Linked DNA regions of Arabidopsis thaliana. The protein of the gene in region 2 interacts with the protein of the main gene of each other region in a biochemical or structural test. Each region holds a gene or a part of one and is shown on either strand. Other genes may lie near its edges.

Region 1 (6,841 bases), on a different chromosome or scaffold from region 2:
TCACATTATAGACTTTTGTTCGTCACATTATAGAACAGCATAAGACTTTATTGCATAACAATTTCAGGTTTAAGTGTACTAGAGAAGATAAGCTTACATTACAAGTTCATCAGTTGGAAACAATATATGGGCTTGAGCTTTAAAGAAGGCCCATTAAGCTTGAAATTGTTCTTCATGTAAGATTGCTGCAGATTTTACTTTAATTTTTTTTTTCTTTTTTTCTTTTGCCCTTAAATTCTTGTAATGCTTCTAGGTGACTCCATCCACTTTATGTGTTGTTTCCCAATCATTTCTATTTTCAACTTTATTTTTTCCTTTCACAAATTATTTTAAGTTTTAACATTATTTTCTTCAACATACGAAATTTATACAGTAGTTTTTTTTTGCAGGTACATATAAATCAATAGTTGAGAAAAAGTGGAAAACAATAGAGATAAAAAAAATTAGATGTAAATTCGCTGTAAAACAAAATGTTTAAATTTCTTTTCCGTTATCGAATCTCTTTTATGAATAACAAGGTCGAGTACTCAAGGTAAGGAAACAGACCATTAGAAAAGTGCCACGTCAGCTTATTTCGTTCTTCACTTTTAGCTTCTGAAAAGTACTTTACCTGAACTAAAACGACGGTGACAGACTGACTCCAGTAGCTGCTAACAGTCGATTTTTAAAATATTATATTTATTTGCAGGAAAAAAAAAAAGTGAAGGAAGAAGAAGAAGTTGGAGAAGCCAAGAGCAAATCTAATTCTCTGACTACTCTCATTTTCATGTCGGAGACTTGCCGAAATCTAAAGAATTTCTTCAACGGAGACTGAAAAGCTTTCTCTTTTCTTCTTTCGTTATCTTCGTTTTAGTGTTTTCCCCTTTGCTTACATTTGAAGAAATCGAGAGCAAGCGATAGAAAGTGAGAGAGAGAGATGTATGTGGTGACGCCTCCTCAAAGATCCGGTTTTGGATCCGATTGTGATTTACGGGTTTACCAAACATGGAAAGGAAGCAATGTGAGTTTTAATGTGAAAGCTTTAGGTTTTGGAATTACTTGCTTCTGTGTTTATACTTGAGCTAGTTTTCTGTTATTTTTCCTATTATTGTGTATAAATTAATTATTAATCCGTTCATGGGCTCAGTTTACTCTGTTTCCAATCTTGTAAAGCTTAAAAATTGGGACTTGGGTTTGTGTTAGAAGTGTAGCTTTCTGGGTAGTTGTCTACATTTAATCATGAAATCTTTACCTTTAATCAATACCTTAGGACATTATCTGAATATGCTTGCTACATTTATAGGAATGCTTCTTCATACAAAGGTTATATAGTTGATGCTGTCTGTATATTGCTTTCAATGTCGAATTTAAATCTGGTTTAGTAGTAACCTAGTGGAATTAAACATTTTGAGGTTTGTTCCTTAAATCCTTCTACCCAAAGTGTTAACATATTTTCTAAATTTGTCCCATTTCTGCAGATATTTTGTCTTCAAGGAAGGTTTATCTTCGGGCCGGATGTAAGATCACTTGGTCTGACCATAAGTCTTATTGTGGCACCTGTTACAATTTTCTGCATCTTCGTCGCTAGCAAACTAATGGATGACTTCTCTGATAGTTGGGGAGTCTCAATAATCCTTGTTGCTGTTGTCTTCACCATTTATGTGAGTACAAAAGTTTAGCTTTGCATTGTAAAACGTTTTGTGACTGGATCATTCATAACAATTAATGCTTCCCTCAGGATTTGATTTTGCTGATGCTTACATCCGGAAGAGATCCAGGGATTATCCCAAGAAATTCTCATCCTCCAGAACCAGAAGTTGTTGATGGCAACACGGGCTCGGGAACAAGCCAAACTCCAAGATTGCCTCGTGTTAAAGAAGTGGAAGTTAATGGAAAAGTATTCAAGGTCAAGTACTGTGATACTTGCATGCTCTATAGACCGCCTCGCTGCTCACATTGTTCGATTTGCAACAACTGTGTAGAAAGGTTTGACCATCACTGTCCTTGGGTTGGTCAATGTATTGCTCAAGTAAGTTTCTCGGTTTTTCGTTTTCCTGTCCGTTAGTTTCTGACATCAGTCTATATAATTCATCTCATTCTCCTTGGGAATTTGCAGAGAAACTATCGATTCTTCTTCATGTTTGTCTTCTCCACGACTCTTCTCTGTGTATATGTGTTCGCCTTTTGTTGTGTCTACATAAAGAAGATCAAAGAGTCCGAAGATATAAGTATCTTGAAAGCAATGCTCAAAACTCCAGCTTCCATTGCTCTGATACTCTACACATTCATATCTACATTCTTCGTTGGAGGCTTAACATGTTTCCATCTCTATCTCATCAGCACAAATCAGGTACCCTAATCATTTGCCTCTTTCTGAAAAAACCTCTCTCATTCGATATGCGTGTTTAATCGTTTGATCTTTCTTTATTCTGTAGACTACATATGAGAATTTCAGATACAGTTATGATCGGCATAGCAACCCACATAACAAAGGAGTGGTTGATAACTTCAAAGAAATCTTTTTTTCTCCAATACCTCCTTCAAAGAACAACTTCAGGGCTATGGTACCAAGGGAAAATCCAATGCCGTCGAGATCAGTTGTTGGCGGTTTTATGAGTCCAAACATGGGAAAGGCCAATGATGATATTGAAATGGGGAGGAAGGGTGTTTGGGCAATGGCTGAACATGGTGATGGCAAAGATGGCAATAACAATGAACGGTTTCATGTTAACGACAATGAGTTAAACGAGTTATCACCAGACATGGGGAACATAGTGAATGGTGATGAGCAAATCAATAGGCCAAACAATCACCCGAGGAACGCAAACTGGGAAATGTCACCAGAAGTTATGGCCTTATCAGCAAGAAGAGCTTAGAAGCAGGTTAAGAGAAAATTGAAAGGTGTTTTAAATGTTTGATGTATTGATGTGTTGTGTGTTTACACGGGAATCAATTGTGAATTGGTGTGATATTTTCAGATGTTATGAGTATTTTTAGTTGTTCTTCAGACATTTAAATCGTAAATCATTGTGTGTTAGTGTAATCTATGACTTATCTTTCACAGAATGAGAAAACAAAATGAATACCGACGATTTTCATACTGTACTTTGCATATGATAAAAATTGCAGAAACTGAATTTTCAGACAAGTGGACCAGAAGACCAGACAACTCTTATTATAGTCTTCATTGAAGCACGGCTCTGTAATAAATGCAAAAGAGCTCTAAAGGCTTCTTATTTGTTCTTCAAAGCTCTAAAGTCTAAAGGTTAGAGATTTAACATCACAAGCCAACATTTTTGGTTTAGGAAATTGAAGATTAGCAATAATATAAAGTTTTTTTGGCATTGAACAAAGACAAAACACAATGAACATAATCAACAAATTGGTCAAACTAAACATTAATAAGTGCCTCAAAGTATCAGACTAAATCATTTTCACTAACATTTATGAAAAAATAACTGTTATTAACTGAGGACGAAGGTAACTGACCAGTCAAACATCATAGACAAAGACAATAAAGAGAGTCAATAGCATTGTTCATAATTGTTATTTGTATGCACATGTTATAAATTATATAAAAAGACTAACCTTATTTCAATTGAGATGTCACTATTACTGTTTTAGCATCCTCTTCTACTCTTTATTTAGAACCTTTAGTACCTTACCATGTGAGTGAAGAGTTCAAAAACCTCTGCAAAAACTTTCTTTTTTATCTCTCTCTCTTCTTTAAACTTACTTTCAAACACTAAATAGCCAAAACTTAAGATACCAAATTTCAACAGGTCGGCTTTTTCGTTTGTCTTCTCTTAAGACTTTACCAAAAGAGATTTGTGGTTTCTGGAGTTGACTTTGGTTGATTTTGGTGTATTTACAGGGGAAAAAATGTATAAGAATCAGCTTCAAGAGCTTGCACAGAGAAGTTGTTTCAACTTACCATCATATACTTGCATAAGAGAAGGACCAGATCATGCTCCAAGATTCAAAGCTTCTGTTAACTTCAATGGTGAGATATTTGAGAGTCCCACTTACTGTTCTACTCTCAGACAAGCTGAGCATGCAGCTGCTGAAGTTTCCCTTAATGTCCTTTCGTCTAGAGTCCCTTCAAAGTCTCTAACTGCTAAGATTCTTGTAAGTTCTCTGTCTTTTCTTCTTGGTTTTGATCATACACAAAAAAATGCAAAAAGAGTAACATCGTATATCTTCATGTCACTCTTTATACAAGGATGAGACAGGGATTTACAAGAACCTGCTTCAAGAGACAGCACATAGAGCTGGTCTTGATCTACCAATGTACACAAGTGTGAGATCAGGATCTTGTCACTTCCCAGGTTTCTCTTGTACTGTTGAACTTGCTGGGATGACGTTTACAGGAGAATCAGCAAAGACAAAGAAACAAGCTGAGAAAAACGCAGCCATTGCAGCTTGGTCCTCTTTGAAGAAAAGTATATATAACTATCTTCCAAATTGTTCCATCAACCCCAAAAAAGCTTCTCACTTTTCTACTTGAAACCATTTTTCTGTTTCTCTACTGTGCAGTGTCAAGCTTGGATTCACAAGATGAAGAGAAGGAACAAGAAGCAGTAGCAAGAGTACTCTCAAGATTTAAACCCAAAGAAGTAAGAAGACGAGAGACAACAAACCAATGGAGAAGAAGAACAAGTCAACAAGATTCAAACAAGGATTTGTTGATTGAGAGATTGAGATGGATCAATCTTTTGACCAATCAAGCTTCTTCATCATCATCAACATCAACACCGAATCAACACAAAAACTCCAGTTTCATCTCTCTAATTCCCCCACCACCACCACCTAAATCCTCCAAAATTTTGCCATTTATCCAGCAATACAAAGACAGATCATCACAAGAAGCTAAGACAGAGACAGCGACAGAGATGATCAACAGCAAAGCCAAAGTCAATGAAACATCAACCAGATTGAGTAAGCAAATGCCCTTTTCCGACATGAACAGATACAACTTTGTCGGAGGGTGTAGCGTAAACCCTTATAGTCTGGCTCCAGCGGTTCAAATGAGATCAGTGATTCCAGTTTTCGCAGCTCCACCACCGAAACCAAACCCCAACCTTAACCCATCATCATTATCATCATCAGTCAATGAATTCACCTCATCCAATAATTCCTGCTCTGTTCTGAATACGCCGGGATTGGGAGGCCAAGAGAAGAAGAATCTAACTCGCGAAATGATCAAACTTGGTTCAGAATCGAGAATTTTGGATCAAACCCATGATAGTTAGCTAAATTTGGTTAATGGGTTAATCTCAAATTAAATCCTTGTCAAGTGTTTGTCACATAGATAAATTATAGACCAGTATGTTTCCGTTTCTTGAATGTGTTCTTGTTTTTTTTGAAGTGTTTGAATTTTCTAAAAGTCCGACATGAACTTTGAATGCTTGCGAATTGCACAGAGAACGAAAACAAAGAGAGAGCATTAATTAGGGAAGAAGATGAAGAAGAGAAATGGGAGTTTGCAAGAAAACAATTAATGGGTTTTGTTTTGTCTTCCTCCATTAATGCGCCGAATGCTCTGCTCTGCTTCCCACTCTTCATCATTAATGGTTTTGCTCTGTAACGTCGGTTCCAACAAATAAACTTAATAATTCGAAATTATAAATTTCACAAGTTACATTTTTCTTTGTGTAAAGATTTTGGACCATATAAACATTATGGTTTGCGAGAATGACGTTTGTGTCATTATCCGATTTAGATCCGTATAATCTATGTTGTTAGGAACTCAGGATTTTGCTCAAATATTCAAATTGGTATATTTTGACTTTGATGAAATTATTTTGGTCAGACCACGAGACTTGATTGCTTCTCAATTATTTGGGCCGGTCCATTAATTTGGGGCCATCTAACTTTTACGTGGGCCGTAACAAACCGAAACATAAAACTAGTGACCTACCTAACCATATTACCCCAACCGGACAGGAGGTAACGAGTTAACCAGCCACTTGTTCGGCTTGGAAATTTTTTTAATCGTCTGACAATTTATGACGTGGATCCAAGTAGCAAGAAAGCTAACATGTTGTTGGATCTGATCTGATCCACGAACCTACCATAAATCAATTTTCTCATTATCTTGACAGGTATATCTTGCATTATTATACGTCAGATTTTCGTGGATACAATATTTTTAAAATGCAATCCATATTTACTTGATTTCCAAAAATGGGTTTTTTCAAAAGCACAATTTCCAAAAATGGATCACAATTTATTAACGGATTCTCAACTTGCAAATCAAGCTTAAATTATAATCTTTTTTAACTCAGAATTTAATATAATCTTTTTTTACTCAGAATTGATTAAACTAACAGTTATATTGATCTTGAAATCACCTTTAATATCTTGTTTTAAATCTTGTGTCTTGCAAATCACGGTTCATAAATATTGGAGAATCGAATAAATAAATTATTTCTATTCCTATATTGCGTAATTTTATTTTTTGACTCTCTATTGCGTAATTACACTCGTCAGATTTCGTGGATGAGTACTCAGTAAATCTTATTTTAATTAAAAAGCTTACTAGTCTAATTGCTGCAAATTTGACCAACTATACAGTTGTGTTGCATTACAATATTTCAAACCATTAATAAAACGTGTAAAACATATTTGGAGTTGAATGAAACTACATTTTCCTTTATGTCAAACGCACTTTTCAAGATATATCTCGAACAATTTACGTATTATTTTCACAAATTTTGTTCCACAATAATTTAGGTTATTTTGGTTTTTGTTGTTGTTTTTTGAGTCTGAAATTTCAAATTTGTATTTTTTTTTAATATATATTTAGGCAGGAATCTTTAAAATGAAACCAATAATATATTCACTAAGTTTGGAAAAAAAC
Region 2 (7,294 bases):
CCGCTTCCCGGAATGTGCGGCTGTCACTATTTTCCCAATAAGATCTTCTGCAACCATGCACCCATCAGCCATCATCAATTTTCCTTTTGATAAATCCTCTTCTACTTCCTTCTCAAAAGCATCTCTCACAGGTAACAATCCAGAAGCTCTCACAACATCGAAGGATGCAACAGCTCCTCTAATACCATAAGTTGGGTGAGATTTCTGCCCAAATACAATGTTGTGACGAAGTTTACCAAACCCATATTCCCTTCTGTCCCCACCAAGAGTTCTCTCATTAGTCCCGAGATATACATCGGGACGAGCTCTCTGAAGAGGGTTGTCCCACGCTGTGGTTTTCGTAATCTTTTCAACCAATTCCCAGTTGATCCCTTTTATGGGTTCCATAGACGTATTGTCAGTAACAGGGACAAACAGGTAGGCCTTTGCAGGATCCCATGGTGTCGTGGAGGGTTCAACATCAACATCCAACACGATACTCATTAACCTCACATGAAACTTTTTTAGAGATGATAGCTGCACAAGAAATGCCACCAATATAAGATAAAAAGTTTCTCAAGCAAACATAAATGTTAGGAAAAATAGAGGTTGTTGTTCAGTCTAACCTGGTTTTCTGTAATATCAAGTGATCCCTTGAAAGCAAGAGATGCTTTAGTGATCATGGCCCGAGCAACATAAAGATCCATAGACATCGATAATACCTGATACAGTAAAACAAATCTTAGTTAACCATGGTTACATCTTCAAATTCTAATACTCAAATCCATGGAGAGAGAAACAACAACCTCTGCATCCAGCTCATTGCCAAAAAGAATCGCGAACTCTGAAACTTCGCTTAGGAATGGATCTTTTGAAGAGCCAAAATCTACACATCTGACATTATACATGTATAAATGGAATAGCTTTGAGCTCTCACAAACTTCCTTTCCAGATGAAACCCATTCTCCCTGTGCATGGTATAAACAGTCAAATATTGAAAACCACATTCCTCTAAAAGCACATTTAGCAAAAATTTCATAGGTTAGTGCTAATATTACCTTAAGTACATCCGCCACACCTTCAGGATAGAACTCTCTATGTCTAGCAGTTCCAGGAACAGGCTCACCTTCATCATCTTGGTCAGCCTTCTCAGCGTCTTGACCACTTCCTTTGTCCGGTAATAGCATATCGGTAAATGCACCCATCTCATGCAGTTTCTTGCAAGCAGCTAAACATACAGCCTACATATCAAACACGCAATACTTCAAGACATGGAACACTGAAAGAAAATAACAAGTAAGATAAACAAACAAACTATTATGTCCACCTGTTGTGCAAGACGCATTGAACTGCAAACAGGACCCTCAAGTATTTCAAACGGTGCATTGCAAGGAAGCTGAAGCCTACATGAATATTCCGTGTGGCCCCCAGGCTTTTCATGCTTCTCCATGCTAAACTCAGGACGAAGGATTGCATACCTGAGACACGAGAGAGAAGCAATCCATCATCTCATACAGGAAAAGGAGAGGTCATTAGGACAATAAAAATTATCGGCAAACTTACCTGTCACCAGGAAGCTGAGAGCAGTAGAAATGTACAAGACCAACCGCGGAATTCAAGCTAACCATGGCACCAGTTGCCTCCACCTTATAAACTGTACCAGGCACAGCATCAATTGAGATTAATCTCGATGTATCTTTGAGATGACTAAGATCAGTCCTTTCTATTGCTTCTTTTCGAAGTGTCTCCTCACTGTTCCTAGCATTCCTTAGGAACGCTGCGTGAGATACATTTCCTCTGCAAGTAACACAAGTTGACATATCAGTACTGATTTGGTGACCAGTAGTTACAAAAATCAAAATGTAGTTCTTAAAGCTTTTTATGTACCTCTCAACCATGAGTATGTAGTCTGATCCAGGCTTTCTTGCCCGGCCACGAGACTGAATGTATGCCAGCACCGTCTTTGCAAGGTCGAAACGCATAACAACGTTACATTGCCTAATATCAAGTCCTTCCTCAGCAACGCTTGTGGCAACTAACAGTGTCACCTATCACAGTAGAAAGAGGAAATAGTAAGACATTTCAGTATAAGATAAAAAAAAAATATGTCTTAATGAAAGACAAAAAAAATCATACATGCCCATCTCGGAATTTGGAAATTGTATCCTGCATTTGAGATGATTTCATCTCCTGGCTGTTATTGTGTCCAATCATGCTGGCACACCGTATAAAACTAAGCGAAGGCAGCTCCGCAAAAACCTGAAAATTTCCAGGCTCAGAGAGACATAGGCAGAAAAATTATACACAAGAAAATAAATTGTTTTTTTCACTTTAATCCTAACCTTAGGAAGAACCAAAGCAGCAACCACCCTCTCAACGAAAACAATAGCTCGAAAATCAGCTGTGTGCTGATATTTGAGGAGTAGTTTGATCAATGATTGTACTTTTGGAGTAACTTTCCCATCAGCCACTGCGGCGCCTATTACTTCATCAACGTGCTCCCCTCCCGAGACCACTAAAACCATAGAGCTCTGTTAATATTGGATTTCTAAAACCGGTAAAAAGCGATTAGACAAAGAATGTGATTAATACTTACCAGGATCATCAGGGAGCTCTCCCTCCTCCATCTCGTCATGTGCATTACCATTTTCTGGTTTGCCAACTTCCGCCGCGACTTTTTCAGCAGCAGCGCCTTCCAGAAGCTCACATTGCAAGAGTGACACCACCTCACTGAGGTATGATTCTTGAAACTTCACGTCGACTTGGAAATTCACCCTCTCATCACTTTGCAAAGCAGACAAGAATGATTGTCCCACCTTGAAAGAAGACACAAAAATTATATCATATGAAAATAACATATCCATTTCAAATTATCGAAAACTATTTACTAAGTTGTTTTTTTACCTTGTAAGCACACCATTGACCCAATTCAGCAAGAGTATAATTGATAGCTCTAAGTTTATGAATCAAATTGGCAGCACCATCGCTCTCCGTTCTTTCAGAGACGCCATAAACCTGTCTCAATTCATCCTTTGCTCCAGCATCCCTAGCCCCCATAAATTGCCACTTGCTTTTCCTTGAACTTGCTTGTGCCGCTTCTTCAACAGCTGCAATCATTTGCTTTATTGTCTCATGAAGAGACCACATAGTAGCAGCTTTGTCATACTCGACGACTATCTCTGAAGGCATAGGCACATGTTTCTCTAATTCTTTTCGATCTTTTATAGTACAAACCGTAGAATCCAACTTGGTCTCGAGGTTACGTATCTTTATCGCACAATCTACTTGGCTTGAAACACCTACGTTTACAAACAAAAAGTGTCACTTTCAAGAACATTGGCAAGCTTAGAGAACTGTATACAAGAAACAATCAGTACCCTTTAAATTAACAGGCGAAGCAGTCATTCCAAAGATGGCAGGTCTTTTATCTTTAGGAGTTGTATGGTAAAACTCTGACATCACTAAAGAGTATGGATGTTTCTTGACAGCGTGGTGACACTCGTCGAGAATAAGAAGATCAATTGTTTCCATTCTAATGATACTGTGTCTCAGTATATTCAACAGAATTTGTGCTGTCATAACTAGAACCTGCGTAGAAGAAAATAGAAAAAAACTCGTTAACTTCAAGAACTGATTCATATAAAAGATCAAAGCTGGTATGAAAAAGAAGCATCAAAAAGCAACCTGCTTAGACTCAAACTCTCGTTGCCACCTTCGAGAATCCCAAAAGTCCTGTCCCATCTCACCACAATAATGTCCAACTTGAAAACAAGTTTGATTACGGATCACTTCTGCTTGCTGATAACGTAAGATAAATCAACCAACCAAAACCAATAGGTAACCAATTTTTTAAAAAAGAATACAAACATGTTTCTTATTAGGCGGTACCTGATAAACCAAAGGCACTTTGGGAACCAAGAACACCGAGAGCATTTTTCTGTTCTGGCTCATCAGATCCTTATGAACACTTTTAATAAGAAGAATCGCGATAAGTGTCTTTCCAGCACCGGTCTCAAGGAAAGCAATCGTGTTTTTCGCTTTAGCTTGTTCAAGAACATCCAACTGGTATCGCCTTGCTTGCTCTTCCACAACCTTCTCTTTACGTTCTTCAGGCTTACTCTTGTTCTCCTCTGCCTTGACATCGCATTCGCGGTTTCCACCACTCACTTTCTTAACATCTCTTTCATGATCAGCTTCCCAAGTCCCTGACCTATAAACCAACTCATTGGAACCAACTTTATCCCTCTCCCAATAACCCCTAACTTCTCTATCTCTACCATCTCTTCTGTAATTGTTACATTCCCTTTTCTTCTTATTGTTACCCGCCTCGTCCCAATTACGAGTACGTTTCCTATTCATAAACCTATCTCCCTCCCTAGAATTATTAACATGCCCTCTACCTGAAAGGTTACTCCTTTCACTCTGATAACTACAAACCCTAGCTCTCTTCCTATCCTTGTCTCCTTCCTCTTTCGAGAATTCGTCTCTCTTACCGCCATTCTTTTGCAACCCATTCTCCTTCACTGTCTCCTTAGCAATAACCTGAGGAGTTACAGTAACCTCGTTGATTTGAGAATTGGTATCAGAAACGCCATTGTTTGGTAAGCCTCCACCGTTCTTGATACTATCTAAAATGTGATCAATCCCACCGAAAAAATCATTGATGACGCCGTTTTCATCAGTGGATTCATTGACAGCAACAGAGGAAGGATCAAATTCAGACACGAGATCATCGATAAGATCACAAGAGATGTCCTCGCAAGCATCTAGCCAATAAGAAGGCTTTATTGTGGCTTCTCTAGGCTCATCCTCCATTACCATAATTCTATATAATAATCAAATCAAGAACATAAGAAAGAGGAGAAAAACTCACTCAAGAAAACCAAATCCCCAGAGAAGAAAACAGAACCAAAAGCACGAGAATTGAATAAACCCAGAAAAAGGGGTGAGAGAAGAAGAGTGTTTTGTGACAGATTAGGGTTAGATAGACCGTACGAAACACGCCAATTTTGAAGTTGTTGTTTGCAGGTAAAAAGGGGTCACGAAGAAGAGCAAGCAAAACCCTAGAGACCACTACTATTGATGATTTCTTTGTAAATAAATAGGAATTGAAAACCCTTTTGCAAAGTGTTTGTGATTCTGAGATTCCACGGTCTATCGATCCCTACTCTGTTCTGTTTCTCTCTTCGTCTTCCTCTCTCTTCTGGTCTGTTTTCCACTTGCTTGCTTCTGTTTTGTAGTAATATTTCTCTCTTTTTTTTTTTGCAATATTAAGATAATTGCCATTAAAGCAGAAGGGTAAATAATTTATTCGACTTTGTAAAAAGTAACTTATTTATTTTATCAGTTTTCTTAGGGTTATCTCCCGAATAGATATCATATGTTAATTTTAGAAGAAAAAAAATTAACAGATGTATTAAATTTATCAAGTAAAAGTGTAAAACTGAAAACTAAAAATGAAAAGATTTCGATATTATTTTATAAAGATTAAGTATTTATATCGAAATCGAAATCTTTTCATTTTTAGATTTCAGTTTTACGACTTATTCCACGCTTTTTACTGTTTCCATGTAAGTTAATATTCGATGAACCAATGAGATACGGACAAGTGGAAAACTATAGTGATTGGTTGGTTCTAAACTTCTAAAATGCTTTTGTTCTGTCATTCTGTGGACCGACTCGTGCAACTTCTTTCCCATAAAAATAAAAATAAAAATAATTATTCTAACTATTTTCAAAAACCTATATTACTTTTTATGATATGAAAATCTTCGTCGATCTCATCTCTTCCTCTCCTTTTAGTCGAGACTCTTCCTGCAAAGCCGTTAAAAAGTATTAACCAGTTTGCACTACCTTTAGTTAAATGTTAAGTAACGCTGCTTTGAAACTAGGCATTGCCTTGCAGAATTGATGTCCATTTGGCGTTAAAGTCAATACCAAAGTCACTAACGTCCATCAATCTATTAATGTGTGTATGGTACACTGATAAAGCAAAACTCTTCGTTTACCTTGATAATGCGTTTACTATTGAAAAGTTGATGAGAACTAGATACGTCTCCAAATCATTATAGTGGTGGTATATCAATGCGTTTTTGTTCTAGATCATTTCCACTCAAATAACACCTTTAGCAAATGCCATCGACTTTTGGCTAACGCCGAAAACAAATTCTTCTTTGTAAGCATCCAACACGCATAGGCTATTTTTTATGGATATTATATAATTTTGAAAATCAACAAAAAGTTTTAAAATCACTATGAAGAAATCACTTATGTTTTACATCTACTTTCATCTCTTTCCACTCCACATATAATAACTAATATAACTACTAGAAAGAACGTAACAAATGTCTGAAAAGTCGAATTTTCTACAATAATTGAATCCAAACGGCAAACGCAATTCGATCTTGGTTCTGTTGCTCGTTTAGTTAACTAACCAAAAACCAAATAATTCAAATAAAAAAATACGCGAAAATATATTGAAGATAGAAGTCGAATAGTGAGGCCGAAGAAACTAAGATATTGTTTTGTTCTTCTTCCAGATAATTGCATAAATCTGCATGGAAAGCGATCTAAAGTCGATCGAATAATATTATTTATCAGATTCGTAACTTTAAGACAAATGCATCTTCATACACTGCCTAGCTTACAATTCACGTTTATACTTTGTTTGGTATTTGATTTCTTATTGTGGACATGGACCTCACTGTATGATTGAATCTTAAGATTCTCAAAGGTGCATTTTGGAAAAAGTAATACAACATTTTTTCGTGACCAATTCATTGTTTCCTGTCATTTTTTTCTTTATTACCATCCCATTCTCATGAAGCAAAATGGGGGTACGGCCCATTCAAATCTTAAGCAAAGCCCTATATTAGCGTATCAAATGAGCAAGCGACATTGAAAATGGGCCTGACCTGACGCCTACAAAAACGATTTGAGCCACCACACCAATAAAAGCTCTTTAAGCCCAAAACGAACCAAATCTGCAATATATTAAAAATTTGGATTACAAACTTTTCTGGTATAAAAGTCTCTTTCAAAATTTTCGGAAAATTAAATAGCGCCGTACTTCGTTGTATACGTGAGTGAACCCACAAAAATTGACCTACTTTGGACGGTTCATGGAGAGAGATCCAACGTAACGAGACTCTAAATACAGTCACAGGGTTCACGTTTTGCAGTGACCGACTTAAAATGACAAGAGCGCCGTCTCTTTAGCAGAACCCCACCCACCCGAAAATCCAAGTCCATAAAAGATCCGAGTTTAGATTTGCAGAATCAGCGAATACAAACAAGAATAGTAGCCAGGTGGTCG
Region 3 (7,530 bases), on a different chromosome or scaffold from region 2:
ATGTGTATATGTGATTTTTTTTTTTTTTTTTAACTTTAAGCAATACTTCTTATATGCTTAATGACATCAGTCGCATAGTTGCATAATGACATCAGTCGCATAACAAAATTCCGCATAACGAAAAATACATGATGAAATAATCAACTATATATCCACTTATTTACATATTGAATTTGTACTATTTTTTTAGATGAAAAGGCTGTCATGTGTTTAGATAAGTACTATTATGCAAATTTTGTGTTAAGATAAGTATTATGCAAATTTCTTTCTTGGTTAAATTCTTGCATAATCGCATCAAAAACGCCAGTATGTGTTATTCATTGGAGCCATAATTCAATTCTAGAAAATATTTATTAATGGTTACTTCCTCTATTTCACTATGTTTGTAGTTTAAAGTTTTTTTACACAGATTAAAAAAACACAAGATTCTCATTTAATTTATCTATTTTCTATAAATACATCATTAACTACACCTAATTGAACCAATAAGAAAATAGGATGTAAAATAGAATTGACCAAAAATTATTAAATATATTTACTTTTGCATAGAAAAATAAAAAGAACACTTATTTTGAAAGAAAAAAAAGTTCCTTAAACTACAAATATAATAAAACAGAGGGAGTATAATTAGTTTTTAACTTTTAAGTTTTACAGAGTGATGTATTTTCATGGTTACTAAACTCACTGGCCTATGCAGTCAGTGGTTAGTTCATTACCATATTTGACAAGTTCTTTAATGGTATGCTATTATTGTTTTAGATATCTTATGACTTAAACTCTTAAGCGAATCCAAGAAATCCAGATTAATAATGCCTCTTCAGACAAAATCTGAATTTGTTTTATCTTCTCAAGACATTACGGATGAACAAGGGATTAATACAATGCTTCTAATTAAATGCTCTGCTTAAATGCACCTGCTTAAAATATTATGACCCCGAAGTAAATGTATTTAATTACGAAGTTTATAGTTACACATTAATTACTTTGTAAATTAATTCGTCATTAAATAGGTAAGGAAATGGTGACCAAGGGAGAGTATTCCTCTCGTTTTCTTCCATCTTTATGTCCTTAAAATCGTTGGGGTTCGCATTGGACATTCATTTGGATATTTATTTCTTCCTATTATTCCTTTTTATTATCCGTTTGTTGTCACATTTGCATCTTAAAACGTAATGGCAATAGTAAATATTACACATATTATTAACAACATTGTTCTTTATAATCTAACTACTCACAATTTGTAGTTTAATGATATCTATTATTACTATCGAATACGATATAATATACTAAGTTTCAGTACAAACAATTTATTCTAGCTTTCTGTTAGTACAAACAATATTATGTGCATATAATGAAACTTTTCATGTGGTTAAATGAGTTAATATAAGTCGCAAGAAAAAAGAAAACTAGTTAGTACAAATTTATGTGGTTATGTGATGGATCAGTCAAACTTCATCAACTTCGGGAGATTGAAATAGAAAAACGAAAACAAATATAAAAGTAAATGTTGGCCACTAAGCTTAACTATGATTATGAATTCCACCTTTTACTACTGCAAATCACTCACAGCGTTTATTACGATAATGCCCCTTATCTCTCTCTAAACGTAATAAGCATTTTGGTAATTTCATGATTTCACATTTGTTCCTCCTCTCTCTCTCTACCCATTGACTTGTGTGGACATGGTTTCAAAATTCATCAAAAGCTAAATTATTCTTTAGAGATGTGTGAACATTAAGTTTTAATATATGAAAATAAAGTACGCACTAACTTCTTAGGTTTCAAGCTGTTTTCTAGTATTTTGTTTTTTCTTTTCTTTCCATTTTCATATTCCTTTTTATTAGAATACGACTTCAGACTTCCCACTAATTCTATGATTAAGTTAAAATTATACATCAGTCGAACATATTTTTATTTGTTTTGATGAAATATTTTATTTAACTTCTACTATTGAAGAAAAGCATATAGATCACACTATTGATATATAAGAAAAATTATACTAGAAACACATCTATGAAATTTTGTTAATTTTTTTTAGAGAAACTTACTATTATTTTCTTTAACCAATTATTTTTTATAAAACTAAAATGAATCAATGTGGTAGATCAAAATTGGAGACCGCACAAATAAACAAAAGATTCAACATAGAAACAAGTTAAACCCAACTTTATAGTGAAAAAAGGAGGAACAGCCATGAGATTGAAGTTTCATGGAACCAAGGTTGTAGCCTATCAAAAACGTATGTGGGTTGGATAGATCAAAATTAGAAACTTTTGTTTCAAATGGTAAAAGCAGTTATTTCACAATTCATAGATAGTTGAATGCTAAAAAAAAAATAGAGAAGATTTGGTAAGTATTAAAAATATAAAAATTGATCGGAGTAGATGTGAATCATGTGATGACCAAAAAAGATTTGACAACCAAAATTGTCTTTTTTTTTGGTGTTTTATGTATTCAGCCGTTTCCTAAGTGTTATTATAGACTTTACGGTTTCGTTTTCTCCAAAAAAAGTTTATGATTTTTTTTCACAAATTCAAAATGTATCTATTATACATAGTTGATGATGGAACTTGTGCGGATTTTTCAATTTTTTGTTTCTTTTGACCGAGATTTCAAATTACGAGTTAACGTTAAACTGAGAAGTCGCATGGATTACACATTGTTTAACTAGCTACACATGATTAGAACAAGTTAAAAATACTAAACATATTGTTTTTTTCGCCAAAAACAAGAAAGTTAAACCGTTTTGACGAGTGTTGTTATAACTTCGACCGTTTCGATGAGTGTTGTTATAGATTCTGCCGTTTCGTTCTTTCCATAATTCTCTTTTAACTTCTTCTCTGTTATTACAAACGTTAACAAAACTTAATAAACTAGAATTAACCTGTTTATTCAAATAGACTTATTTTTTTCATACCTTACAATTATACAAATTGTTCAATATATATTTAATCTTATGTTTTATGAAAATTCAAATTATAAAGCTTACAATAGTGGTGGATTATAGTTAAATGTTTTTTTTTGTTTTTTAAATCCATAAATTAAGATACATACAAAATTAGTATAGTATAAAAAGGAAATATAAAAATATCACATCCATGCAGGCTAACGTTCAGTTGACTAGCAGCGATAAAAGCAGATAATTAATTCTCACATTTAATTTTATTTTATTTTTTCCATTAAAGCAAAAACCCCACACTCTCTCTCTCTCTTGCTCCTCCCTCTCTTCCTCTCTCTATCTCTCTCTGCAAAAACCCTAAATTTCCTCCGATTTCACCATCTTCAATCTCCTTCACACCCCAACTTAGCCTCTTAATCACTCCCCAAGCTAAACCCTCCAACGATTTTCCATGATTCGAAGATACAGAGCCTTAGCGATGAAGAAAAAGCCCTAAAAACCAAAGCTTTGATCTCTCCGAAATCGGAGTTTCTTTCTTTGTTTGGTAAATTTGGTTTTCGAAATGTATAAGAACCAGCTACAAGAGTTGGCTCAGAGGAGCTGCTTTAATCTTCCTTCGTATACTTGTATTAGGGAAGGTCCTGACCACGCGCCGCGATTCAAGGCTACTGTTAACTTTAACGGCGAGATCTTTGAGAGTCCTCAGTATTGTTCTACTCTTCGTCAAGCTGAACACTCTGCTGCTGAAGTTGCTCTCAATGCTCTCTCTAATCGTGGTCCTTCTCACTCTCTTGCCGCCAGGATCTTGGTTTGTTTCGCTTCCTCTTACTCTCTTTGGCATTTTACTTGGAAAATTGTGAGCTTTGAATGCTGAATTTGCATGTTGTTTTAGGTGCTTTAGGTCACTGATGGGTTTAGTTTGTGGTTAGGTTTTTACTTATTAGGGTCGGTGCTGAGATCTCTGACTTGCTTTTTAGGGATTTGGGTTTCTGGGTTGTCTGATTAGAGAGAGTGATCTTCACATTCACTGATCTATGGATCCAAAGTTTGAATCTTGTTCTTACCCATTGATTGGTTTGGGACTTAAATGAGTAGAACAAATAACTTTTGTGATTTTGGATGCATGTTTACTTCTGATGTTTTGCTTGTTGCATGACTGATGATACTTTTCTTGGCTCTGTTCTTTTGGATTATGGTTTGTGTAGGATGAGACGGGTGTGTATAAGAATCTTTTGCAAGAGATAGCTCAAAGAGTGGGAGCTCCTTTACCGCGATATACTACTTTCAGGTCAGGTCTTGGTCACCAACCTGTGTTTACTGGTACTGTAGAATTGGCTGGAATTACGTTCACTGGAGATCCAGCTAAGAACAAGAAGCAAGCAGAGAAGAATGCTGCAATGGCTGCTTGGTCTTCCCTAAAACAATGTGAGTCCTAATTCTGATTTTGTCAGTTTTGATATGGTTTTAGTTTAACGCAGGCGTTGATCAAATGTAACTCTGCTTACATGGTTTGATGTTTTTTATGTTCTTCTTGGTAACAGTGGCAAAAGAAACATCAAGTTCAATGCCTGAGCCTGAGAACATTGACGAACTAGAACAGGTGATTATAGCAAGAGCTTTGATAAACTATCGTATCAAGGAAAACATTGGCACAGGAAGCTCCTCGAGTGCCCCAGTTCCATTTGCAAAGAAGTTCTTTATGCAGAACCTTAGACCAACAAGTCCACAGCCTTCTCCTGCAACCACATCGAGAATCTTACCCTTTATTTGCCCAAAACAACCTTCCAGAAGCAGCAGATCATCCTTAGCAGCAACTTCCGGTATTGACAGAATTATGGCAGCAGCCTTGGAAAGCCGCAGCTACCAGCGGCCTCAGCAGAGATTTGCAAATCCGCCTTATGTTCCTATGAGGCAATTTAGATCGCAATGCCATGGGATGGCTCCACCTGTCACAATCAGAACCGCTGTACCGGTCTTCTCTGCACCTCCAATGCCTCCTCCACCATGTACAAACAACACTCAGCTACCTTCTTCTGTGTATGTCCCATCGCTGATGCGAACTGCACCACCTGTGAGGATCGCGCCGCCTGTCACAATCAGAACCGCGGTGCCCGTATTTGCTTCTGCGCCACCGGTTAGAATTAGAACCGCTGTGAAGCCCACAGTTGAGGCAGGAGAAACCCGCATATCATCAGTCCAAGAAAAGGAGAGTATACCAGTCTTGCCTGATAGTCTTGAAATTGGAGTAGAAGGAAGTACTATAACAATTACAGATTGTGAGAAAACAGCGTCAAAGGAAACCGAGAGAGCAGAGTTTAAGGATTCATCGAAAGGAGAACCGGAGACAGCAAGAGAGCGACTGGAGAACCTAAAGATCTGATGCCTTGAAGACTGTCTCTGGGTTTAGTTTTTTTTGAGGTTGGTTTCTGAAAATTGTTACATTAGTAATCTCGTTCGTTATTATACTCGGTGGATCGAGTAGTTTGATAATCCGAAAGATTTGTATTATATTGGGGAGTTTTGGGAAGAACCTGGCCATCTCTGGATTGTAGAATTGTATCAGTTTCGCTTCCTATTCAGTTTGTTTGTGTCCTTTTTCTCATCTTTTATAAATCTGTTACCTATCGTTGTTCCAGCAGAATCAAGCTCTTTGTCTTACACGACAGCTATGACACATATCTCAATGAGTCTTTGGAACTTCGAATTTCTCCTTTAGCTAACAAATTCAGTCAAAATATTTCAGCACACGAGCCATATGTTTTATACAATATAGTTTTTGCAATTCAGTCAACATATCATAATAATGCATTCAACATCTGAAATTTCTTCAATCATACAACAAAGCCGACCAGATAGTTTCATTGTACAACAAAATGAATAAGGTCGTCGTCTACAAAACAATTCCCAGTTTCCAAGTATTGGGTTTGAAGAAAGTTGGTTCCAAACCCAAAACAAGAAAGAAGAAGAAAAATCAGTCACTATACACCGAAAAACACACCATGAAAACACATCTTGCTGAGCAGTATCGTGTCAACGGGATGCAAGAGACCAGAAATTGAAGAGAAACGAAGGCAAAGCAGCGAACCAGCTTATGAAAGCTAATGCCGTTGATGTTTCAAACTGAACACAGTGGTTTTGTGCGCAGCTATTCAGATCGTTGTCTATTAGAACCGTTATGCCTGCCGATGCACAAGCTGCTGCAAAAGTCAGCGTCGATGTCACCTGAAATAATGTTGAAAAATGCTTATTTGTACACATCTCTTTTCTCATACGATTTTATTAAATTGAGAGGCTAAATGGTAAATCTCTTACCCCATCACCAATTGCAAACAAGCTCACAAGTCGACGGTTCTGTAGAGAGCGTTTGACCATAATGGCATAGACGTCAACCATGGCTAGTGCAAGACTCCACAAGCTCTGCAGACCAGTAGCTGCAACTAGGTAGCTGATGAATCAAATACAGTAAACCATCTTAGCAGATTCTAACAGTCACCAAACATGGTTTAATCACATAAAAGCATAAAGGTTTAACCCAATATACTACCCATCCCGTACAATCGGTTCAACTATCACATTATGTCCACAGCTTAACACTGCTACTACAAAGATTCATTCATCTGGACTCTAGAAAATTTGCAACAGGAGACCTACATACAAAGTACACCAGTGCCTGTCACTAAGGCAAACTTACCTAAGTAACCACTACCAGACACCATGATGCAAAGCATGATTAATAACCAAATTAAACAACAGTGACCAAATGAAAAACATGATATGATAGCCATTTTATCAACATTAACTTCTCGAAGAAAGCTCATCTAGTTAAAATGATCTTTATGACCATGATATATCCCGGATTAGCAGCTACATCATATTACTGGGCACCAGTAATAAAATCCCCTATACACAGCTGTTAACTAGCTTCTAATAAGCCTTAAAGATACTAATAGACTAGCAAGCCTCATAACTTATCATATTAAGCCACAAACCCGATGCTTATTTTGTATTGCACTTTCGGAAATGGAAACAACAAAAAGCAGATTCCAGTTCATAGTGTATAGCATATTGGAAGAAAGATAGGGTGCTATCACATCCGATTCTGATAAATACAGATTCTCACAGAAGTTTATAGTAAAGCATATATTCGATTTCTAATAGACCAAAGTCTTACCAGAAGGCGGTAACGGAAGGAAAATCACTAGTAGAAGCCATGACACAAAGAGCAGCAGCAGCAAACAAGAACTGAAAAAAACGCAATGCAAGACCAAGCAATGTTCCAGGCATTCCTTCCATATCATCCATCCTCACCCGAGGCGGATTCTCTACTTCCGTCGCAGCTGCAGGAGGATCTTCCACTGGATGTACCGATGCATGGCTCACATTCATTTCTTCTTCTTCTTTCCTCCACCAAACTCAACCAATTCAACACATCTCTCTCTCCCTTCCTCTTCACCAATAGCTGAATTACAAATCTAACAATCTACTACTACTCAAATCTCCCCTACCTGTATTCACCAAATTAAACCACAATTTATACAATCTAATGATAACTCAGTACAAAGTTCAAGGAGGACTAAATCAAACATAGAATCAAATCTCCGCGATAGCTAAACTAAATCCAAGGTTACGAA
Region 4 (7,681 bases), 3.1 Mb from region 2:
GCCTGTGTAGCCTGCTTTCCCTGGCTAATCTCCAAGTTTCTTGAGGTTATTTGATGTGGCTGGATTGCAGCCGATGAGCTTGCTTCATTTCCACGAGCTTGCCCTTTCTGTCCACCATCTGGTTTGCAAGTGACAATCTCAGTAGCTGGGACAGAGCCTGCAAAAACTCTCTGATTGGAGACAATCCTTGATAGAGAAGCCAAGGGGGCGGAAGCAGAAAGCATTGAAGATCCTTCTGAACGAGGAGCTATGAGAGGAGGTTTGTTGGAAGATGATGAAGCCATAACAGGTTTCAATTTTCCATTAGCTAGAGACCGTATAGAGGCGGCAACACTCGTTCCTGGTTCAACCTTTGGCATGGAGAGGCTACCTGAGGGCTGAGGCATGCAGACTGTAGAAGCATGTTTTACAGGTTTAGTCTTTGGCACTCGTGGAGCATCAGTTTTTCCAGGTTCGACCTTTCGTCCTGATGCAGCAGTCAATACATCACCCATGCATGCAGCTGCAGCTACTGAATTAGCTGTTACCATAAGATCCGATCTGGAAGTGGAGCTTGCTGTTGTTTTTTTAACAACTCGAGACTTTGCAGCCGGAAGTGATGTTCCTGCCCGAGGCAATGCTTGAACAATTGGTTTGGACTGTTGTTGACCTTGAGAAGAACTTCCCCCATTCGCTTCCGTTTCTGTGATGGTACAAGATGACGTCGTTGGCATAAGACCTGCATAAAATGCAGTCTAATTGATGAACCAAATAAACAAAGAAAATTACCCAAATATTATAACCACAAACCCCACCGCAGTTAAACAGGTAAGCTAATTTCTGATTTAGACAAGCCAGTGGTAACCAAACCAAAGCATCCTCTGTTATAACATAAATACTAGAATTAGCAGGGAAGGATCTTCTGCTACTTGTACCTATTGCAAGCTTATTTGAAGGGGGCCGATTTCCCAGAGCTAAAGATAATGCATGGTTAACTGCTAGTTTCGCTTCAGTTCCTTGTAGGCCACATTGGCTAACAGAGGTCGAAGTGTGACACCTTTTTCTTATAAGCGCCCACCTCTACAAAGAAAATAGTCAGTTGTTACCACCAATAACGGAAAAAGAGTAAGCAATTGCAAAATGTCCCATGCTCGTCCAAGTAGCTAAAGTATTGTTAAGTTTTATCAGATGGAAAGTATATGCGTAAAAAATACAAAGATGGATACAAATATCATAAAACTTAGTCTTATTAGTCTTATTAGCTACCTTCTATGATTGCCAAAAGACTATTACTCATATCATCCAAAGAATCTGTTGCCGGGATTCGAACCCGGAAAAATGGGGAAAAACCCCACGTCCATACCAGACTAGATGACAACAGATATATTTCTAGAGTAATTACCAAAGTGGTACTTCGTCTGTAAAGAGCCACCACCTCCAACAACACGAAAGAGGGAAGGTAATATCCACCATTCATCGTCAACAGAATATAGATAATGATGCATAAACAGGTTGTAATACAAAGAACAAGACTATAAGATACACTACAAAATGACTTCAAAGAAACTAATGAAAAAAGAGCAGTCAATATTGAATAAGAGAAATCACAACCTGCGAGAGTTGGGAGGCGGTTCTCTCTCCTCTAAAGTCTCCCTTAACAATATGAGCCCAGTTCCCTTCACCACATCGCTTTACAGCGGCGAACAGCTCCTCATCCTCCTCAGCAGACCATCTTTTCCTTTTCCTCCGAAAAGCCATGCTAATACCAGCTGAACCATTTCCATTCATCCCCTCGGTAGATGTAACTTTCTGAAGACAGACCGGAAAGTTGATATTCATCCCTCTTGACGACCAAGGAGACTCTGATGGTTCCTGAGAACCCTCAGGCAAAGCATAAGGTATGTTTATAGTCAAGGGAGCCTCAACTGTTGAATCGTCGAGTATATCAGACTCACTTAGAACATATGAAGCAGCCATCACCTGGGAATACAAGAGAAACGAAAACTTAATGATATTTGGATAAAATGGGAACTCTGGATAAGCACAGATTGATATGCAGAACAAGTAACCAACACACTAATCATTAAGAAAACAGCAAGGTGTTATCCTGAATAGAGCCTAGGGACTTCAGATTCTGAAATTCTGTCAAGGGAATGAAATCTATGATTCCGTTCTTACTTTGACATGTGCAATAGCCTCCACTGATGCTTCATGGCTGACTGCAGGAGAAGCTTCCAATTCGCACTCCATGTCACTATCGTCGTCCTGCACAGGCAACTTTCGTTTAAAAAATCTGTAAACTACACCAGCGAGAGACACTCATCGATCCCTAATGCTACCAAGAAGTTTTAGTATCCACTGCCACATAGAACATAAACTAGTATTTCATCACACTCACTTCTAGATGATACTGATAACACAAAGTAGTAGTGAGTTTTTATTGAAGAAAACTAACTAACTCTACAACATAAACTTGAGTCTTTTACAATTCATCAAAAGTGGAAAGAGGAGAGACAGAATAAGTACCAGAGGTAGAGCATCATCTTCCACAGGGAGGAGAGGATGCCGATAAGAAAGATGACGCCATAGCAACTGGTACTCTCTAGCATTAGTAATTCCGGTAGTGGTCTTCTTCACCAACGCATTCCAGTCCATCTTGGTTTCGGAACAATAAGATATCTCCTGTAGCATTCTCAGTATCGTCTCCATATCATATCTGCGTCAATAAATCAAAAACCCCGGCCACACTGACTAAACCCAAATCCACTAACGTTTTCGGAAAGAGAAAACAAAAAAAGGAGATATTTTTACCTCAGCAAAAGAGTGGCGATGTCGCCTTCAGTAATGATTCTCTTCCTGCGATTGCTACTAGTATTATTATTAGCAACCATCTTCGTCGTATTTATTGCAACAATTCTGCAGAGAACAGGACAAAGGAATCAAATTTCACCAAAACCCGAGGGAGTTATAGACGAAACGAAACGACAGAGACTTACGCACGAGGGAATGCCCAAGAAAACCGGTGAAGACGATCGGAGAAGAAGATGGTCACGACTGTCGAAGAGCGTGGAGAGTACTCGCGTGGCAGAGGTGTTTCGGAAGAGAGAAGAAAAAAAAGGAACGAAAAGGAAGGTGGTAAATTCGACTATTATTATTCTACGCTTATCAGAAGCGAAAAGTATGGGCTCAAATATTTTTCTTTTCTGGTAAAGGGATATAGGATCAAGTGGGCTCAAATATGGGCTCAAATATTTTTCTTTTCTGTTAAGGGACATAGGCTCAAGTGGGCTCAAATATGGGCTCAAATTGTTTTTATTTTTTATTAAACGGTTATTATCATTATTGATGTTTACTTGGAGAACAAATTAATTATTTGTGAATACAAAAACTGTGTGAATATAACAAAGGGATTACTAGTGAATAAAGTTAGCCATAAAAAGGTTAATCAATTGTGGATATATACATTAGTTAACTACATATGAAATACGAAATTAGGCTATATGTAATTAGTTTTTTAATTAAATTAAATATTTCAAAGATAAAAACATTTTGCTTTCATATAATATTCACAAGTAAATTATATTTATGGAAAATTTGACCAAAAAGGTAAATTTATGGAATATAATATAATTTATAAAGGTTTGAAATTAAATTCAATATTAACATTTGTAACATAACAATTAAGAACCACCTTCTTTCGTTTGCCCTTGTGAAAAAAAAACAAAAATAAAAATCAGTAAAGAGGAGGAAGTCGAGGGGAGAGGGTTTTTGGTGAAGAAGAATCATCTCTCTCTCTCTGCTTCTTCGCAGCAGCAGCACGTTTCTTTCTTGCTCTTCGCCGTGCCCTACTAACCTATTATTCGTCTCTTCAGCTACATTCTGCTCGTGAAAATGACCTCCACTGATGTTTCCTCTGGTGAATTACTTCTTCTTCTTCTTCTTCTTCTTCACCATCATGTCTGCATTATCTCTAATTCAACATTCATGGGTTGTTTTTTCCGGGTTTTAATTTTGAAACCAGATCATGCTTTTTCCCCTTTCTTCTGTTCTTTACTCACTTCTTTCTTCTTGGAAATTGGATTGCAGTGTTTTGATTAGTTAGAATTTACAAGTGTATCTGTCCCTTGTGGGTTTAAGCGTAGATCTCTCTGGCAATTGGCAAGTTTACTCTTTTGAGATGATGATTTATTGACTCAATTTGTTAGGGAACATAGAAGCTTGGTTTAAAACTGTCTCTCCCCTTTTGGATAAGTATAGTTTCTTTGTGAAAGTCGTCAGCTTTATTCAGAACTCGTTCACTGCTGTTCCCTGTTGTCGTTTTGAGTTTATTTGCAATTTATGCTGTAGTGGATAGCATCATCACTGTTTCTGTTTTATCTTTTGCCTCATTTTGAAGTTTTTTTCCTGCTCAGGTGTTTCCAATTGCTATGTTTTCAAAAGTCGGTTGCAGGAGTATGCTCAGAAGTACAAGCTCCCAACGCCTGTTTATGAGATCGTTAAAGAAGGCCCTTCACACAAATCTTTATTTCAATCGACTGTGATACTGGATGGTGTCAGATATAATTCTTTGCCTGGATTCTTCAATCGTAAGGCTGCAGAGCAATCAGCTGCCGAGGTTGCTCTCCGGGAATTAGCAAAATCCAGTGAGCTAAGCCAATGTGTTTCACAACCTGTTGTAAGCACCTCATCTTTCTTATTTCGCTCGTGATTATTGTTAAGTTCACTGCAAAACTATTGAACCTAGCCTAGGGGTTTAGCAGCGAATTGTAGCTTTGCCATCTCAGCAGTAGTCCTTATGCTTAGTTTGAGCGTTGAAGGTTTAAAGGGAAGCTCATGGTTAGTTTCAGAGTTGAAGGTTTAAAGGGGAGCTGTGAGAATACGTTAGGGGGCATTCTGTATTTGTCTAGGCTCTTGGTTGGACAATGATCGAGATTCAAGAGTTTAAAGAATCCACTCATTAATAAAGTGTCTTCTGTCTTATCGGATTTATGTGTATTGCCAACTTCTAGAGGGAAGATTCTTAGGCTGTTTCTGTAAGTTATTGCTCTTGTCTAACTTTGAATGGCTTATTAATGCAGCACGAAACGGGATTATGCAAGAACCTACTTCAAGAATACGCTCAAAAGATGAATTACGCGATTCCATTGTATCAGTGCCAGAAGGTCGAAACTCTTGGGAGAGTTACACAATTCACATGTACTGTAGAGATTGGAGGCATAAAGTACACAGGAGCTGCAACAAGAACTAAAAAAGATGCTGAGATTAGCGCTGGGAGAACTGCTCTTTTAGCGATCCAGTCAGACACTAAAAACAACCTTGCCAACTACAACACTCAGCTTACTGTACTTCCTTGTGAGAAGAAGACAATACAGGCAGCTATCCCGCTTAAAGAAACCGTCAAGACTCTTAAAGCCAGGAAGGCTCAGTTCAAGAAGAAAGCTCAGAAAGGAAAACGCACAGTAGCTAAAAATCCTGAAGATATTATCATCCCTCCTCAACCTACTGATCATTGTCAAAACGATCAGTCAGAGAAAATTGAGACAACGCCAAATCTGGAACCTTCTTCATGCATGAACGGGTTAAAGGAGGCAGCATTTGGGAGTGTGGAGACAGAGAAAATTGAGACAACGCCAAATCTGGAACCTCCTTCATGCATGAACGGGTTAAAGGAGGCAGCATTTGGGAGTGTGGAGACAGAGAAAATTGAGACAACGCCAAATCTGGAACCTCCTTCATGCATGAACGGGTTAAAGGAGGCAGCATTTGGGAGTGTGGAGACAGAGAAAATTGAGACAACGCCAAATCTGGAACCTTCTTCATGCATGAACGGGTTAAAGGAGGCAGCATTTGGGAGTGTGGAGACAGAGAAAATTGAGACAACGCCAAATCTGGAACCTCCTTCATGCATGAACGGGTTAAAGGAGGCAGCATTTGGGAGTGTGGAGACAGAGAAAATTGAGACAACGCCAAATCTGGAATCTTCTTCATGCATGAGCGGGTTAAAGGAGGCAGCATTTGGGAGTGTGGAGACAGAAGCAAGCCACGCATAACAGTGTCAAGATGGAGTCTTGTGAGTTTGTCATAGTTACTATATGGTTACGTAGCCATTTTGTGATTCCTATCTAGTCTAGTAGTAATTCACAGATTGAAGAGAAGTAATATTTGAGCGGAAAATCAAAACTAATATGATTGGTACAATTTGGTGGTCGATTGAGTCATTCGAATAAAGTAATGTGGGGTTGCAAAACAGAAGCTTCATATCTACATATAAATGAAAATTACTCTCAAACTTCATTATTTGTGGGCCGGTTATAAAAACACAAACCCAACAGAAGGTCCATTACCCTCACTCTTCATTATTTGTGGGCTGGTTCTAAAAAACAAAAGTCCAATAGAAGGTTCATTACCCTCACTCTTGATTATTTGTGGGCTGGTTCTAAAAAACAGAAGCCCAACTTGCTGACCCAACAGGTCCGTTTACGAAACCCTAATCTCAAAACAGAGATATAAATACACTCTGCCTTCCTCATTTCATTTCTTCGGCGATCTAGGGTTTTAGTTGTCGCACGAGGAGGAAAAATGCCAGCGGGTCATGGAGTTCGGGCGAGAACGAGGGATCTGTTCGCGAGGCCATTCAGGAAGAAGGGTTACATTCCACTCTCGACTTACCTGAGAACCTTCAAGGTCGGCGATTACGTCGATGTGAAGGTGAATGGTGCGATCCACAAGGGTATGCCTCACAAGTTCTACCACGGTCGTACTGGTCGTATCTGGAACGTCACTAAACGCGCCGTCGGTGTTGAAGTCAACAAACAGGTCTGATGAACTCTCCTATCTCTTCAGCTTTTGTGTCATTGAATTAGGATTTGAGCTTCTTAGTGTGCTATTTGGATTGTTGATCTATTGCTTTGATGTAGAAATGTGTGATTGAGTATAGGTTTGTGGAATGTAAATCTTCTTCTATGCTACAATTGAGCTCAGATTTTGAGTTTTAGCTCAAAGATGTTATCTTCTATTATGCAGTAGCGTGGTTCGTGATCCTGTTTCAGATTTGAAAGTTGATTGCTTTGGTCTCGTTTAGTCTTTAGCCTTAGCACGCAGTGTTCATATGTTCCCAGTTATTCAATACTTCAACTCGTGTTCATTAAACTGCTAGTGTGTTTTCTTTCATGACTATTTAATTGTTAAACTTTGGCCTTTTTTACTCATCTTGTTTTTATAAGTCTCTCTATAGATGTTACTGTGTAATATGGATTATGGATTATCCTATGACAATAACACAAATCTTTTTGCTAGTACTACTTATATTGGGTATTATGACTGACACATGTTGGGGGTGTTTCAGATTGGCAACAGGATCATAAGGAAGAGGATTCATGTGCGTGTGGAGCATGTGCAGCAATCAAGATGTGCTGAGGAGTTCAAGCTGAGGAAGAAGAAGAATGATGAGCTCAAGGCTGCAGCCAAAGCCAATGGTGAGACCATCAGCACCAAGAGACAGCCTAAAGGACCCAAACCAGGATTCATGGTCGAAGGAATGACCTTGGAGACTGTCACTCCAATCCCGTACGATGTCGTCAACGATCTCAAGGGAGGCTATTAGTTCTATCTTCCCAGTGTTTTGCAGTTGTTGCTTCCGTATTTGAGTTTCTCTTCATGTGTCTTAGCTACAATTTCTGTAGAATCTCCAGATATTTTATGA

Evidence for each region.
Region 1: the proteins of DCL1 (region 2) and DRB5 interact in far-western blotting, tested with the Arabidopsis thaliana proteins (one study listed by BioGRID).
Region 3: the proteins of DCL1 (region 2) and DRB2 interact in far-western blotting, tested with the Arabidopsis thaliana proteins (one study listed by BioGRID).
Region 4: the proteins of DCL1 (region 2) and HYL1 form a complex in vitro, tested with the Arabidopsis thaliana proteins (4 studies listed by BioGRID, with this or other methods).

Annotation. Positions count from the first base shown.
Region 1 is NC_003076.8:16,434,686-16,441,526, forward strand, and holds DRB5 (dsRNA-binding protein 5), read left to right. Parts: upstream 1-3,579; 5' UTR 3,580-3,761; intron 3,762-3,853; 5' UTR 3,854-3,861; coding exon 3,862-4,107; intron 4,108-4,201; coding exon 4,202-4,421; intron 4,422-4,515; coding exon 4,516-5,231; 3' UTR 5,232-5,370; downstream 5,371-6,841. Other genes in the region: AT5G41060 (DHHC-type zinc finger family protein), read left to right, coding at 917-1,000, 1,458-1,640, 1,718-2,008, 2,096-2,329, 2,415-2,855; AT5G41071 (uncharacterized protein), read left to right, coding at 5,384-5,566. UniProt on the Arabidopsis thaliana protein: Binds double-stranded RNA. May be involved in RNA-mediated silencing.
Region 2 is NC_003070.9:21,025-28,318, reverse strand, and holds the start of DCL1 (dicer-like 1), read right to left. Parts: upstream 4,904-7,294; 5' UTR 4,801-4,903; coding exon 3,868-4,800; intron 3,778-3,867; coding exon 3,664-3,777; intron 3,568-3,663; coding exon 3,357-3,567; intron 3,279-3,356; coding exon 2,884-3,278; intron 2,796-2,883; coding exon 2,576-2,795; intron 2,495-2,575; coding exon 2,322-2,494; intron 2,239-2,321; coding exon 2,116-2,238; intron 2,028-2,115; coding exon 1,867-2,027; intron 1,777-1,866; coding exon 1,543-1,776; intron 1,458-1,542; coding exon 1,307-1,457; intron 1,221-1,306; coding exon 1,038-1,220; intron 948-1,037; coding exon 783-947; intron 702-782; coding exon 606-701; intron 517-605; coding exon 1-516. UniProt on the Arabidopsis thaliana protein: Ribonuclease (RNase) III involved in RNA-mediated post-transcriptional gene silencing (PTGS). Functions in the microRNAs (miRNAs) biogenesis pathway by cleaving primary miRNAs (pri-miRNAs) and precursor miRNAs (pre-miRNAs).
Region 3 is NC_003071.7:12,131,847-12,139,376, reverse strand, and holds DRB2 (dsRNA-binding protein 2), read left to right. Parts: upstream 1-3,135; 5' UTR 3,136-3,461; coding exon 3,462-3,707; intron 3,708-4,104; coding exon 4,105-4,324; intron 4,325-4,440; coding exon 4,441-5,279; 3' UTR 5,280-5,645; downstream 5,646-7,530. Other genes in the region: AT2G28370 (Uncharacterized protein family (UPF0497)), read right to left, coding at 5,930-6,121, 6,212-6,344, 7,071-7,285. UniProt on the Arabidopsis thaliana protein: Binds double-stranded RNA. May be involved in RNA-mediated silencing.
Region 4 is NC_003070.9:3,136,308-3,143,988, reverse strand, and holds HYL1 (dsRNA-binding domain-like superfamily protein), read left to right. Parts: upstream 1-3,635; 5' UTR 3,636-3,870; coding exon 3,871-3,895; intron 3,896-4,391; coding exon 4,392-4,654; intron 4,655-5,057; coding exon 5,058-6,029; 3' UTR 6,030-6,340; downstream 6,341-7,681. Other genes in the region: AT1G09710 (Homeodomain-like superfamily protein), read right to left, coding at 1-718, 795-1,059, 1,591-1,959, 2,158-2,244, 2,506-2,695, 2,791-2,870; AT1G09690 (Translation protein SH3-like family protein), read left to right, coding at 6,559-6,795, 7,325-7,582. UniProt on the Arabidopsis thaliana protein: Double-stranded RNA-binding protein involved in RNA-mediated post-transcriptional gene silencing (PTGS).